4 linked regions of the Saccharomyces cerevisiae S288C genome follow. The protein of the gene in region 4 binds, or shares a complex with, the protein of the main gene of each other region. Each region holds a gene or a part of one and is shown on either strand. Other genes may lie near its edges.

Region 1 (3,837 bases), on a different chromosome or scaffold from region 4:
AAAGGATCCGTAGAAACATTGCCTGCAGTCTCAACTGACGACCCAAATTGTGAAGTCAAAGTCACTGCTACCTATGACAAACTATTAAATAATTTGTCGATGGAGAGGTCAATCAGACTTTGAAGATACATGAATCCTTCTCTTCACTGATGGATCCATTTTCTTCTTCCTTTTTTTCACTGCATAAAACTTTTTTTATCAACCTTTCATATTTTCCATATTTATTTATATATACCGCCAGTAAATTTGGCGATATTCGATAGACTTAACAGATAAACTTTTTAAGATGAATTAAAGCACAGAGGATTAAGCTTACCTCTTTAGAATCAATTGATATGTTCGGCTACATATTAGACACTGCATATAACCCAAGGCGGGTAAAATATGAACAATTTCAATTGGGCTTTGTAAATGCTTACTTTTAAATGTAAACGAAGCTCATCAGAAGAAAAAAAACAAGAGATTTGGAAAAGGCTACTTCGACCTCAATAATTTCTCAGCCTATCTTTCTAATGTCATTACCACAATGGTGTCCACCGCATTCCACCTTAAAAAGAAATCCAACTACAGGAGAGGACGTATACTGCATATGTAAAAGGCCAGACTATGGGGAGCTGATGGTGGGATGTGATGGTTGTGATGACTGGTTTCATTTCACCTGCCTTCATATTCCTGAGCAGTTTAAGGACCTGGTGTTCTCTTTTTATTGTCCTTACTGTCAAGCGGGGATTACTGGTAAGAATAAGGACGCCATAATCAATGGTGAAGGGAGCTTGCCAAAAACCTTATGGAAAAGAAAATGTAGGATAAGTGATTGCTACAAACCATGTTTACAGGATAGTAAATACTGTTCTGAGGAACATGGTAGAGAATTTGTGAATGATATTTGGTCGCGATTGAAAACAGATGAGGATAGAGCAGTCGTCAAGAAAATGGTCGAACAAACAGGACACATAGATAAATTCAAGAAATTTGGACAACTGGATTTCATTGATAACAATATAGTTGTAAAAACAGATGACGAAAAGGAAATATTCGATCAAATTGTTGTACGAGACATGACGTTAAAAACTCTTGAAGATGATCTGCAAGAGGTTCAAGAGATATCGCTACCATTATTCAAAAAAAAGCTAGAACTTTTGGAAGTATATTTGGGATGGTTAGACAACGTATATACCGAAATGCGCAAGCTGGACGATGATGCTGCAAGCCATGTGGAATGTGGTAAAGAAGATTCCAAGGGGACAAAAAGGAAGAAGAAGAAAAATAGCAGCAGGAGTAGGGCTAGGAAAAATATATGTGGCTATTGTTCTACATACGAGCGAATACCCTGCTCTGTGGAAGAATTTGTCAGAGATTTTGGAAGTAATGAGGAAGCCACCAAAATACATGAGGTATGCACGAAGTGGAAGTGTAACAGACATTTGGATTGGGTGTCTACTAATCAGGAACAATACCTCCAGCAGATTGACTCTTTAGAATCTATGCAAGAAAGGTTGCAACATCTGATACAGGCCAGGAAAAAGCAACTAAATATACAATACTATGAGGAAATTTTAAGAAGAGGTTTGTAACGGCGTTGGAGCCTAATCAAATATCAGTTTCTACATATATATATACTTCGTAGTGATGATATATCAATTGGAGCGTCCTTGCATAGGCAACGCCTATTTGGATAGTCTTCAATTTCGACCCCATTTCACGTGAATAAAGCGGAGCTATCTCTGTTTTGCAAGGGTTCGGCCGATTTTGCTGCGAAATTTTAATAAGCGCATATTGATTTTTTCAAGCAATACTTTGTATATTCATGATCGAATGAATGAAAAAGCACCACTCCTCAGCCGCATACCTTCAGTATCGTATTTATTTCCTTCTTTAATCACTTAAAATGAGCACTTTAGATATTGCAGAAGACAACAAAATAAAAAATGAAGAATTCAAAATTTGGAAAAAATCAATACCCTCATTATACCAACATATTTCAAGTTTGAAGCCTATCTTTGGCTCAGGCGTTGACGAATCTCCATCGACACTTAGGAGTATAGTTTTCACTAACGATAGCTCATGTAATAAATCCAAAGGTGTTTTGAGCGTACCACTTTTATATTCTCAAGGGAGTGAAATCTTTGAGGTGGATTGTATAGTGCCACTCGGACTTCATTACAAAAAACCTGAAAGCATTTCAGAACCGTTAGTACAACCGGATTATACCATGGAATCTCAAAAGGTGGAGCAGACTGTTTTGATTCCAAAATGGGAATTTAAAGGTGAAACGATTGCAAAGATGATTTACGTGGATAACAGCGAAATAAATGTAAAGGTGATAGCCCTTTCTACCAATGGTTCTTTGGCATGGTTCAGAGAAGGTGTCAAATCGCCCGTTTACACAATGATGGAGCCATCCACTTCTCTAAGTTCAGCATCGTCCGGAAATCAAAATAAACCCTGTGTTGATTTTGCAATTTCTAACGATTCAAAAACCTTAACAGTAACTAAGGAAAAACATCTTGATAATGAAAACGCTACAATAAAATTGATAGACAACTCAGGTAAAATAGGAGAAGTGCTTCGTACAATACCTGTTCCTGGCATAAAGAATATTCAAGAAATCAAGTTTTTGAATAATCAAATATTCGCCACTTGTTCTGATGACGGTATCATAAGGTTTTGGGGTAATGAGATAGGCAAAAAGCCCCTTTGGATTCTAAACGATTCTTTGGACGGCAAAACAACTTGTTTTGCTGCATCACCGTTTGTTGATACATTATTTATGACGGGAACTAGTGGTGGGGCTCTCAAGGTTTGGGATATACGTGCAGTTATCGCTTTAGGGGATGCTGATGCTGAGTTAAATATCAACCAAGGACATAATAAAGTCAATGAACTATTCAAAGTTCATCACTTTTATAGCGAGCAAGTGTCCAAAATAGAGTTTTCTTCCATTTCGCCTATGGAAGTGGTTACAATTGGAGGGTTAGGTAATGTTTACCACTGGAATTTCGAACCTGTTTTTGCCATTTATAACGAGATACATGAGGACTTTCAAGGCATAATATCTGACGAATTGGAGGCCGAAAGCATGGCATTTTATCACACTGAGGGCTGCAGAAGAGAAATAGGAGAAAATAATAAGGTTAATACCGTTGCTTATCACAAATACATTGAGGATCTAGTTGCTACAGTTGATAGTGACGGGTTGTTAACTGTATATAAGCCGTTTACTGGAAAAGTTTTAGATGGCAGTAGAGAGGTTGGAGCTGCCAAAAGTTAATTTTTATATTATTTAGGCTGTTTGAGTTTGGGGCGGAAATGTATGAATAAATTGTGTAATATTTAGTCTTTACTTCAGCTTTTGTTTTTCTAAAAATTTGTTTTTAATGTTTTATTGTCTGAAGTAAACATTAATTATTAGCTTGAGAATTGCTCTACATGTATATATAAACGGCAAGGATCTACTCTTTAATATAGAGAAATGTACATACCTTTGAAAACGCGTTTTCAGAGTTTAGAATGTATAAGGTAACCTTAGAACCACATCTCTTATTGCCAGACTCTCAAAGGTGAACTGATATTGAGCCTATTTTACCCTTGTTTATGTTCACTTTCTCAATGCGAAAAAAAATCAAAAAGAAATAAACTTTATCCTTAGAGTTGAAGAATTAGAAAGAGAATAAATCAAAGGGATCAGTTGGGAAAGCTCAATACTTTCCGCTTAATTTTACTGAAAACCTCATCAAACACGTAGGCACATATATATTCATATATTTATATGTTGGCTACCTTCTAATTTGCATGAAATTCGTTCGCTCAAAAAATTAGACATTTTACTAGTAGCAA
Region 2 (4,010 bases), on a different chromosome or scaffold from region 4:
TTCGTGACATCACTGTATTTAAGTATTTTACCCAATGAAGTGATAGCAATTACACCGAATGAAAACCATTGAAATCCCTTGATACTTTCATTCTTTTCGAAAATATCGCCACATTGCTTTGCGATATCATCTAGACTGAACGATGTTTCTTCATCGCCGTGTCTCTTCAGTTGAAGAAGATCAATCAGCTTTAACCTACCATCATTCCCGGAGGTTACAGCTATCATTTCGTCGTCTTTCACATCAACGCCCCATATACTCTTGATTAAATGTACTTCGTAAACGTTAGATATGGATAATTCGGCAACGTTTTCTCGTGATTCGATAATGTTCCATACACGGCATGTGCAATCTTCAGAAACACTTATTAGTTTTGAATCATTATCAAAAAACATTAAATTCCATATTCTTGCCGTATGGCTCCAGCCAACAGACAGCTGCTTGCCAGTTTCTAAATCCCACAGTCTAATTGATCTGTCGTCAGAGCAACTGGCAACATATCTTCCGTTGTTGCTTAAATTAACATAAAAGATAGAACCTTCATGACCCAGTAAGTTATGAATTTTTGTCTCCGAGAACAGGTCCCAAATGATAACACCGCCCATTACAGTACCAGCGTTAACATATACTTTATCCGGACCGAAAACTTTAATTATACCGGAATATAGAATAGATCTTTCTCCCCCAAGAGACTTCCTAAAAAGAACTTCACAATTTAAATCACAAATTAGCACTTTATTATAACATGTTAACAAATATATTTGCAAGTTGTCAAAGCTGAATGTAGCACCGGTAATCCAATCTGAGTTAATCCTTTCGAAATCCACCAATGACTCTTTCTTTAAAACGTCTTCAAGTTCCACTATTGTTACTGATCTTGCACCATAGGCCAAAATTTTCCCTTCACTAGAAAGGCTAAGTCCATGAACTTTATTGTAGTGAAATAGCCTACATTTGTTAATCAACGTAGCCGAATGATAGTCATAGACATGGATGAAAGGCCCATAACCAGCTAGAACATAATCATTGTAAAATTTAACACATAGCGCAGGACCATAATGAGACAAGTCCTTCATTTTAATCACTTATTCTTCTTCAATGAGCAACTTCAATTGGCGGGAATGAGAAGCTAAATAACGATGAGGTCCGCTAGCAGAAGTTTTTTCATGCTCATATTTTTCCACTTTTTTTTTCTTACATTTTTTTTTTCAGCAGCGTCGTTTTTTGTGAGACGCCGATGTGTATGCTAGGCTTAAATCTATCATTCAGACCCCAGTGTAAAACATAAGCGGTGAAAAGTACGTAGGGTAGTATACAACTCACCAAAGCACGACTACGTGAAAATGACCCTGAGAGTATCATCAATGTTATCGGCTGTATAAATAATACACCAGAACAAATTCCTCTTAAAGATGTAGGCAAGACCAGACTCAGTTTCTCTGAGCAGTACCTTCAATTTTCAATTTTTGATAGATGTTCGTCACTAATATTTTTTTATTGAGTTAAGTTCACCCACTTCTGGCACTTCTTATAACCTTGATAATTAAAAAGACCTCGGCGGTTATTTTTTATTTTGAGCAGTTATAAAGGGCATTACCCTCATCATCTTGCGGAAATAGGACGGAGCACGTCGCAGACAGGCTTTAACGTAATCAATTAGTTTTGAAAAATTTCTCCGCTATGGGTAAACTAGGTAAACCGCACAGCACAATCAGCTGCATTTTCTATTTTCAATTTTCTATTGGTGGCTTTTCACTGCATGATCAAAAAATAACGTTTTGTTGATTAGTTTTTTCTTTTTTGTTCTTGTTGGTTTTCGTATATGAATTTTATGTAACTGGGTATTTACAGGGGTACAAAGTTCACAACAGAGACCATCAATAGTTTGTTTCCTTCGAAGTTTACTTTGCGTAACCTTACTAAAAGATAGCATAAACATATAGGAGTATAGAGAAGAGTAATGGAATCGACAGCAATAGTGCCTAAAGGCCCTGTTGTGGGTAGTGAAGATATGGAGAAAGCGGAAGTCATTGCTAGTGGGTCCACAGACATTATATCAACAACATCAACAGCGACAACAACGGCGGCGATTGGAAGTGTACAGGAAGAAAGTGTAAAACAAGAAGATGTTCCTATGGAAGGTGGAGAGGGGGAAGTCGAGGAAGAGGAAGGCGAAACTCGCTGTATCTGTGGAGAGCTCGATACTCCAGATGACTCCGGATTTTTCATTCAATGTGAGCAGTGCAGTTCCTGGCAGCACGGTTATTGTGTGAGTATTACTCAAGACAACGCACCTGATAAATATTGGTGCGAGCAATGCAGACCGGAGTTACATCAGCTCTTTACCACAGATACTGGCGAAGCAAGGTCAATCTATAAACCTGTGCAAGAGAAAAGGAGGCAATCAAGAAGGAAGGCACGAAGTGCAGCTGCAAGTAAATCTCATGCCGCCAATGAAGCAGAGAAAAGTCCCAGAAATACCAGCAATACCGATGATAACGTCGACGATATCGGCGACGAAGAAGATGAAGTAGAAGATGAAGCTTCGGCTGTAGCATTAGCCAAGGACGGCAACACGAGGTCAAGTAGAAGGAGGAGGAGGAATTCAATGGATGATGCTTCTACCGATCAGTATTCACTGGATCCTGGAGATAGTGATAAGAAGCTACTGGATAGAAAAAGGGCAACTTTCATGGCAAGAGAAGAAAAGCAATATCAAAGAATGCTTGAAAAAGCCTTGAAAGAAAGCAGGAGGACATCACATCAAGAAGATCCTGAAAGTTATGAAAATGATGCTGATATATACCAAGGTGATACCGACAATCACAACGGCACCACTCGATTACAAACGGATGTTATGCTAACGGAAGGCAAACCGGACTCGGTAACAAATGATGATATGAAAGAAAGCCTACGACCATCGAAAGAGCAATCAATGGAAAAAACAAATGATGTGGAAAAAGAAGCTAGTCAAGAAAAGGAATCTTCTACGGGTTCGGCGCAAGACACTGAGAAAACTGATGAACCCATCCTACCCCTAACCTCAATATCTTCTTCTGAGGATGATTCAAGGAAAGCTAGTTCGAGGGGTTCTAAAAGAGTTTCCAAACCAGCAAGAAAGGGCAACAGAACTCGTCGAAGCAATACAAGTTCAGACACCAACCAAAATAGAAGGAGTGCTGATATAGGTACCGACAAACCAGTAAAGCCCAGATTACCCCCTCAAAGGACCTCATTAAACGAAATGAGAAGAAGGGTATCCGCTATTTTGGAGTTCATTTCTAGAACTCAATGGGAATTGAGTGAAGATCAGTCTGATCGAGAGGAATTTGTACGATTCGTGGAAAACCAGCATTTCGTAGAAAAAGTTGATACGATTTACAACGGTTATAATGAAAGTCTATCAATGATGGACGACCTGACTAGAGAGTTACTACTATGGGAGAAAAAATATTCAAATAACACTAATGCCATTCAATAAACGCAAAACACTGCAATATTATTCTCAACCAAAGTATAACTGTAATGAGGCGAACAAACACATCTATACATATATATACATCTATATGGATATAAAAACGACTAATTCAACGTTGTTTTTATCAACCGAGCTTACTCTTGTACGGGTAACCGCAAGGATAGCTAGTTGCGGATGGTATAGCGATTTGGCTGGCACGATGATTAAGGAATCCAAACATCTAATGGACTAGCACATTCTATCGATTTACGGGTCAGGTAAACATAGATATTGGGATATATCATATATCCTTACTGAGTAACTATAATTATGGTTCATCGAGGAAGGACTTTGAAGTCAGACACTGATGTAACATCTCTTAATGCGTCAACAGTATCACACCAGTCAAAGCCATTTAGACAGTTTTCGACTAGGTCGAGAGCAAAGAGTAACGCAAGCTTCAAAGGTTTGCGTAGAGTTTTAACACATGATGGCACCCTGGATAATGATTATTTTAATAAGCACAACGTTTCTCAGAAATGCAAGAGTTCTG
Region 3 (3,446 bases), on a different chromosome or scaffold from region 4:
AACGGCCTCTAATGTCATACCTTCTTCGCTGTGCAGTTCGTCTATACAATACCGCATTATGTTAAGCATTGCCATTGCGGTAACTTCATCTTTTGTTTGCGATGATAGCATCACCCCAAGAAGGACCTGTAATCTGTAGTCCCTCGGTGATATCTGCTCTTTCGAGATACCACACTTAGAGGCAACCGTTACAGGAATGGATGATCCACCAATTATATCGACGGGGGCTAGAATCTTAGATCTCAGTACTCGCATTCTAGCGTATGTTTCTTGAAACTTGTAAGGGACTTTCGTCGAGGCCGGAGTGACAAGGATCGAGGGGTCCAATGGTGTGGCCCACCTGTTGGGCACATTGCCGTTTCTAACCACAATCCATTCGAAGTACTGCTTATTTGGCAGCGATTTAACCCAGTCGATATCCACGGGTTGAGGGACAACCTCTTCTTGTTTGATTTTGGTCCTTTTCTCCGGTAGGAGTTCTGATTCTGGCCCAGTTTCAGTCTTTACCAGCGGTCTTTTCCTCAGAATTGCCATAGATGAGTATTTACTGATCTTTTGCATATTTTTTTTTTTTTTGGGCTATAAAGTATATATAGATACAAATATATGATGAATCATTAAAGAGGAGGTTATTACTAAGTGAAAGAAAAAGAAAAAAAAAAAGATCAAAACCAAACTTCGTATTCGAGCCTAAAAAACAGAATATAATGTTATAATACTAATAGAAGCAACAGGAGCACCACTATCAGCACAAGAATAATCACGCAGTTGCCGTTATCCTTGAACCTAGAATTGTTAAAGCCATGCATGGACCGAGAGGCCCTGTTCAAATTCCTACCATTATTATCAATCAGGTTTTCTAAATCAACCAGCAGCGAGTCGTTCTGAGAAACGATCTCATTATTAAGGTCCAGCGAAATGTCATGAGTCCTCCCAATAGACTGAGACAGTGCGCCCAAGTGGGAATCTTGCTCTAACAACTGCTGTTGCTGGTTAATAAATAGTTCTTGGTTGGAAACCATGGGTTGTGGTGGCTGTGGCTGTGACTGTGACTGTAACTGCGATTGCAATGGTTCATCCTTGTATGGAGTATGCGTCGAAGGCAGCGGCGACTCCTCGTCTTGTTCATCGTCATCCTTATACATGACCGTAAGCTCGTCATCATTCTTGAACCGCACTTTTTTCAAAGACTCTTTGGACACCTCATCAGTATTTCTTGCCACCTGCTGTTGGAACCTATACAACTCCTTGTCAACCGCCGTATCAGGAATTTTGTCCAGTATGGTATTGTATCGGGATATTAGTTCATCATTGGGCGCACACTTCTGCAATAACTCCAATATTGAGCCCAATTGCCGTTTCAAAGTAACGTTATCGTTTGAGGTCGGGGCGAGCTTCAACACCGACACTAGCCTTGTTCTTTCTTCGACCAGATCAGAGAGCTGGTCCAGTTCATAACCCAGCTTCAACACATCCATACCGTGTGTGCTTACGCATCTATTTGCTGTCGTGAGATCTGTCTCTATGCTTTATTCGTTTTCCATTGTAAAGTCTCAGCATTTATTTCTTGTTCTTTACTTGTTTTTGCCCTTTCGGGTGATCAAAGTCGTGCTGGGAAATTTTATTCTTATAAAATGATTTTTAGAAATAATAAACTCATAACAGTGCAACGGCAAAGTACAAGGGAAGGAAGCACAGAAGCAAGAGGAGGCGCATCGATCGTGGCAGATGAGTCAGCAAACACCACAGGAAAGTGAACAGACCACAGCGAAAGAACAGGACCTTGATCAAGAGAGCGTGTTGAGCAACATTGACTTCAATACGGATTTGAATCACAATTTGAATTTATCGGAATACTGTATATCCAGTGACGCAGGAACAGAGAAGATGGATAGCGACGAGGAGAAGTCGTTGGCCAATCTGCCGGAGTTGAAATACGCTCCCAAGCTATCCAGCCTGGTGAAGCAAGAGACGCTCACCGAGAGCTTGAAAAGACCACACGAAGATGAGAAAGAGGCGATAGATGAGGCCAAGAAGATGAAAGTGCCGGGAGAGAACGAGGACGAAAGCAAGGAAGAGGAAAAGAGTCAAGAACTGGAAGAGGCAATTGACAGCAAGGAGAAGAGCACCGACGCCAGGGACGAGCAAGGGGACGAAGGTGATAATGAGGAGGAAAACAACGAGGAGGATAATGAAAACGAAAACGAGCATACAGCACCGCCTGCGCTGGTGATGCCCTCCCCCATCGAAATGGAGGAACAGAGGATGACTGCGCTGAAGGAAATCACCGACATCGAGTACAAGTTCGCGCAATTGCGCCAAAAACTATATGACAATCAATTGGTGCGGTTGCAAACGGAGCTGCAGATGTGTCTGGAAGGGTCACACCCGGAATTGCAGGTCTACTACTCGAAGATTGCCGCGATCCGTGACTACAAGCTACACCGAGCGTACCAGCGACAGAAGTACGAGCTTTCATGCATCAACACAGAAACAATCGCTACCAGGACATTCATTCACCAGGACTTCCACAAGAAGGTCACCGACCTGCGAGCCAGGCTGCTGAACAGAACCACGCAGACCTGGTACGATATCAACAAGGAGCGCCGCGATATGGATATAGTCATCCCAGATGTCAATTACCACGTCCCCATCAAACTTGATAACAAGACGCTGAGCTGTATCACGGGCTACGCCAGCGCAGCACAGCTGTGCTATCCCGGCGAGCCCGTGGCAGAGGACCTCGCTTGCGAAAGCATCGAGTACCGCTACAGAGCCAACCCGGTGGACAAACTCGAAGTCATTGTGGACCGAATGAGGCTCAATAACGAGATTAGCGACCTCGAAGGCCTGCGCAAATATTTCCACTCCTTCCCGGGTGCTCCTGAGTTGAACCCGCTTAGAGACTCCGAAATCAACGACGACTTCCACCAGTGGGCCCAGTGACCGCCACACTGGACCCCATACCACTTCTTTTTGTTATTCTTAAATATGTTGTAACGCTATGTAATTCCACCCTTCATTACTAATAATTAGCCATTCACGTGATCTCAGCCAGTTGTGGCGCCACACTTTTTTTTCCATAAAAATCCTCGAGGAAAAGAAAAGAAAAAAATATTTCAGTTATTTAAAGCATAAGATGCCAGGTAGATGGAACTTGTGCCGTGCCAGATTGAATTTTGAAAGTACAATTGAGGCCTATACACATAGACATTTGCACCTTATACATATACACACAAGACAAAACCAAAAAAAATATGACTCTACAAGAATCTGATAAATTTGCTACCAAGGCCATTCATGCCGGTGAACATGTGGACGTTCACGGTTCCGTGATCGAACCCATTTCTTTGTCCACCACTTTCAAACAATCTTCTCCAGCTAACCCTATCGGTACTTACGAATACTCCAGATCTCAAAATCCTAACAGAGAGAACTTGGAAAGA
Region 4 (2,968 bases):
AGATGATATCATTGATAAAAATTGATCTGAGTGCCCCGCTTCAATGAATACAGAAGTCTTGGCTTGAGTACAAGAGATTTATACAAATCGAAAATGTTTACTTTATATTTATTAATATAAAATGAGTATTATTTTTATTTAATTGATTTAAGCATCTTCTTCGACAACAACAGTTTGTAGACCCTTGGCAGAAGCAACTAAGACAGGTTCAACGTAGGAGAACAATGGGTTCTTGGCGTCTTCTTCTTCGTTTCTCTTTCTGGAAATTCTCAATCTTAATCTGTATTCAACACCCTTGACACCTCTCTTCCAGATAGCTTGGTTCAATTCTGGAGCTAGACGGACATCATCAGTACCCATGTGTAACTTGGCGAACTTCTTAATTTCCTTGACAGCTCTTGGAGCTCTCTTCTTGAAGGAGACACCGTGCAACTATTAAAAATAAAATGGTAAATTTTTTGTTAGTAACGATTGTTCATTTTAATATTAGTGTAATCTTGATGAATGGTTTTGTATATTGGAGACCCAATTTGTTCTGATTCATATTTAGTCAAACTTGGGATATGGATAATTGTCGACTTAAAATCTAGGATTCCACTATTTAAGATAACTATTTCTGTCTTCATCGCTCTTTAAGTCCAGCCGAAGTGTATCTTTCCCCTCTTGGATGTTATAATATTGATTATGGTCTTCAAATTCCGTATTATAAAATATATCTTGATCAATGATCTTTGTTGATAGGTTTCTGTGGTACAAATTCTTGATATTGTATTCCTTGACTATAGAAATATCTTCTTAATTAACCATTCAGATGACAAGCCCTTGGGCATTATATTTTTATTCTTTCACATACTCTTTTGTGCAAGTTAATGGTGTATTCACGAGTGACAACGTCTTTCAAACCGGCCATTTTTCCTTTGATTGAGTTCTGTTTGCTTATTAATTCTTTCTTTAAAACTTGAATGAAATTATCACTAGTTATAAAATCTTCAATATAATTCAATACTATCTTTCAAGCTATGAGATTCAACCCGCCTAATGCGAGCATGAGTAAAGTCAAGCTATGTCTGCCTGCGCAGTTGGGAGAACGAAAATGCCAGAAAGAAAAGCCGCAAACCTGAACGGAGCTTTCCCATCCTCCGCCTGCGCAAGAATGATCCACCATCGAGAGAAAGCCTTTCTGGGCTCTCCCACTTCCTTCCGTTGCAAAACTGTCGCCTAGCGTTTCAAAACTGTCCACGAAGGCAGATTGTCCAAAAAAAAAAGCACCACAAATCATTTCTCAATTTCAGAATACAAAGGTATGGGGGTAAAAATAAAGATTGGTGTACGGAGGTAAAGGTATGAAAATATTGTGAATAATGGAAAAAGGGCCCAGAAGGGGAGAGGTTCGGGAAAACAAAATATAGTATCAGCACTTCATGAATGTAGAACACAAGAATAAGCATCTCCATTCCGGCATCAAGTGCTATAGAATTCCATGACAGCGTTTTGACAAATAACGGTATTTTAGTACGAAGGTAAGGGAAAATTTACTCGCAGTTTTTTTTTTGAGAGAAGTAACAATACAATATAAGATAAAAATGTCGGTAAGCGAACAAGATCCTAATAGGGCGTACAGAGAGACTCAATCCCAGATATATAAACTACAGGAAACACTACTAAATTCGGCGAGAACAAAAAATAAGCAAGAGGAGGGACAAGAAAGCAACACCCATTCTTTTCCAGAGCAGTATATGCATTACCAAAACGGCAGAAATTCGGCCTACGACCTGCCTAATGTAAGTTCACAGTCGGTTCTTGCTTTCACTGAGAAACACTATCCAAACAAGTTAAAAAACTTGGGTACACTTTATTACAATCGTTTCAAAGAAGGGTCTTTTGATGAAGACTCCACAAGTTACTCAGACAGGCACAGTTTTCCATACAACCTTTATGACAACACTCTTCCACCACCGTTCCTTCCAGCTATCGGTATTCAAAATATCAATAATATTGCAACGCTAAAAATAACATATGAAGATATTCAGGCAAGTTTCAATAATATAGAATCTCCTAGAAAGAGAAATAATGAGATATGGGGATGTGATATCTATTCTGATGACTCAGACCCAATACTAGTTTTAAGACATTGCGGGTTCAAAATTGGAGCGCCTTCTGGTGGCTCATTTCACAAATTGAGAAGAACCCCTGTAAATGTAACTAATCAAGATAATGTTACAGGTAACCTTCCCCTACTGGAAGGCACACCTTTTGATCTAGAGGTGGAGTTGTTGTTTTTGCCTACTCTACAAAAGTATCCTAGCGTAAAAAGATTTGATATAACATCGCGGGAATGGGGATCGGAAGCCACCGTTATACACGATGGACTGAGTTACGGTATCTATAGTATTGTCATTAAGCAAAGACTAGATAGAGATAAACCTCATGAACCAAACGGGTATATTAAAAATTTAAAATGGACCTAAGGAAAGACATAATATTGGTCGTCCTTCTTTCCCTTCCAACCTTAGTTGGCGCCATGTGTGTATTTAATTTAATTCAAAATATCATTCTGCTGCGCTACTTCTGTATTATTGCTTTGAGGAATATACGATGCGTTGTACTATATAACAAAAGCTTCACTTTATAAGTTTCTATAACTGGATAGTTTGGTTGTCTCACTCTCCTGCAAATTCATACTCTTCTTCCATACATTAACATGCCGTCCTAGGTGCTTGCTTTTTTAATTAGACTGGTTATAATATGTGTAACTAAGCCATTTTCGGGGCCCTCAGATTATATTAATTCCGAATCGGTAGTAAACGATATTTTATGAAAAGGACCCCAGGGCGCCAAACAAAACGTGGACTGTGACAAACTCTGCCAAAAGTCAAGCTCTAATCGTGTAAATCTTACCAATTGAGAGCGATTCCTGTAATTAGGTTTACGGCTGTTCAATTATCTTTTCAACCGGACGGGTCTTATA

The links.
Region 1: RXT3 (region 4) and UME1 share a complex: the UniProt entries of both Saccharomyces cerevisiae proteins name them as parts of the RPD3C(L) complex.
Region 2: RXT3 (region 4) and CTI6 share a complex: the UniProt entries of both Saccharomyces cerevisiae proteins name them as parts of the RPD3C(L) complex.
Region 3: RXT3 (region 4) and DEP1 share a complex: the UniProt entries of both Saccharomyces cerevisiae proteins name them as parts of the RPD3C(L) complex.

Annotation. Positions count from the first base shown.
Region 1 is NC_001148.4:289,103-292,939, reverse strand, and holds UME1 (Ume1p), read left to right. Parts: upstream 1-1,888; coding exon 1,889-3,271; downstream 3,272-3,837. Other genes in the region: protein phosphatase regulator GIP3, read left to right, coding at 1-123; SPP1 (Spp1p), read left to right, coding at 513-1,574. UniProt on the Saccharomyces cerevisiae protein: Catalytic component of the RPD3 histone deacetylase complexes RPD3C(L) and RPD3C(S) responsible for the deacetylation of lysine residues on the N-terminal part of the core histones (H2A, H2B, H3 and H4).
Region 2 is NC_001148.4:201,461-205,470, forward strand, and holds CTI6 (Cti6p), read left to right. Parts: upstream 1-1,960; coding exon 1,961-3,481; downstream 3,482-4,010. Other genes in the region: tRNA (34-2'-O)-methyltransferase regulator RTT10, read right to left, coding at 1-1,076; TCO89 (Tco89p), read left to right, coding at 3,788-4,010. UniProt on the Saccharomyces cerevisiae protein: Component of the RPD3C(L) histone deacetylase complex (HDAC). Responsible for the deacetylation of lysine residues on the N-terminal part of the core histones (H2A, H2B, H3 and H4).
Region 3 is NC_001133.9:127,542-130,987, forward strand, and holds DEP1 (Rpd3L histone deacetylase complex subunit DEP1), read left to right. Parts: upstream 1-1,728; coding exon 1,729-2,946; downstream 2,947-3,446. Other genes in the region: bifunctional N-glycosylase/AP lyase NTG1, read right to left, coding at 1-561; SYN8 (syntaxin), read right to left, coding at 711-1,478; cystathionine gamma-lyase CYS3, read left to right, coding at 3,258-3,446. UniProt on the Saccharomyces cerevisiae protein: Component of the RPD3C(L) histone deacetylase complex (HDAC) responsible for the deacetylation of lysine residues on the N-terminal part of the core histones (H2A, H2B, H3 and H4).
Region 4 is NC_001136.10:320,168-323,135, reverse strand, and holds RXT3 (Rxt3p), read left to right. Parts: upstream 1-1,583; coding exon 1,584-2,468; downstream 2,469-2,968. Other genes in the region: 60S ribosomal protein eL31 RPL31A, read right to left, coding at 148-432, 854-910. UniProt on the Saccharomyces cerevisiae protein: Component of the RPD3C(L) histone deacetylase complex (HDAC) responsible for the deacetylation of lysine residues on the N-terminal part of the core histones (H2A, H2B, H3 and H4).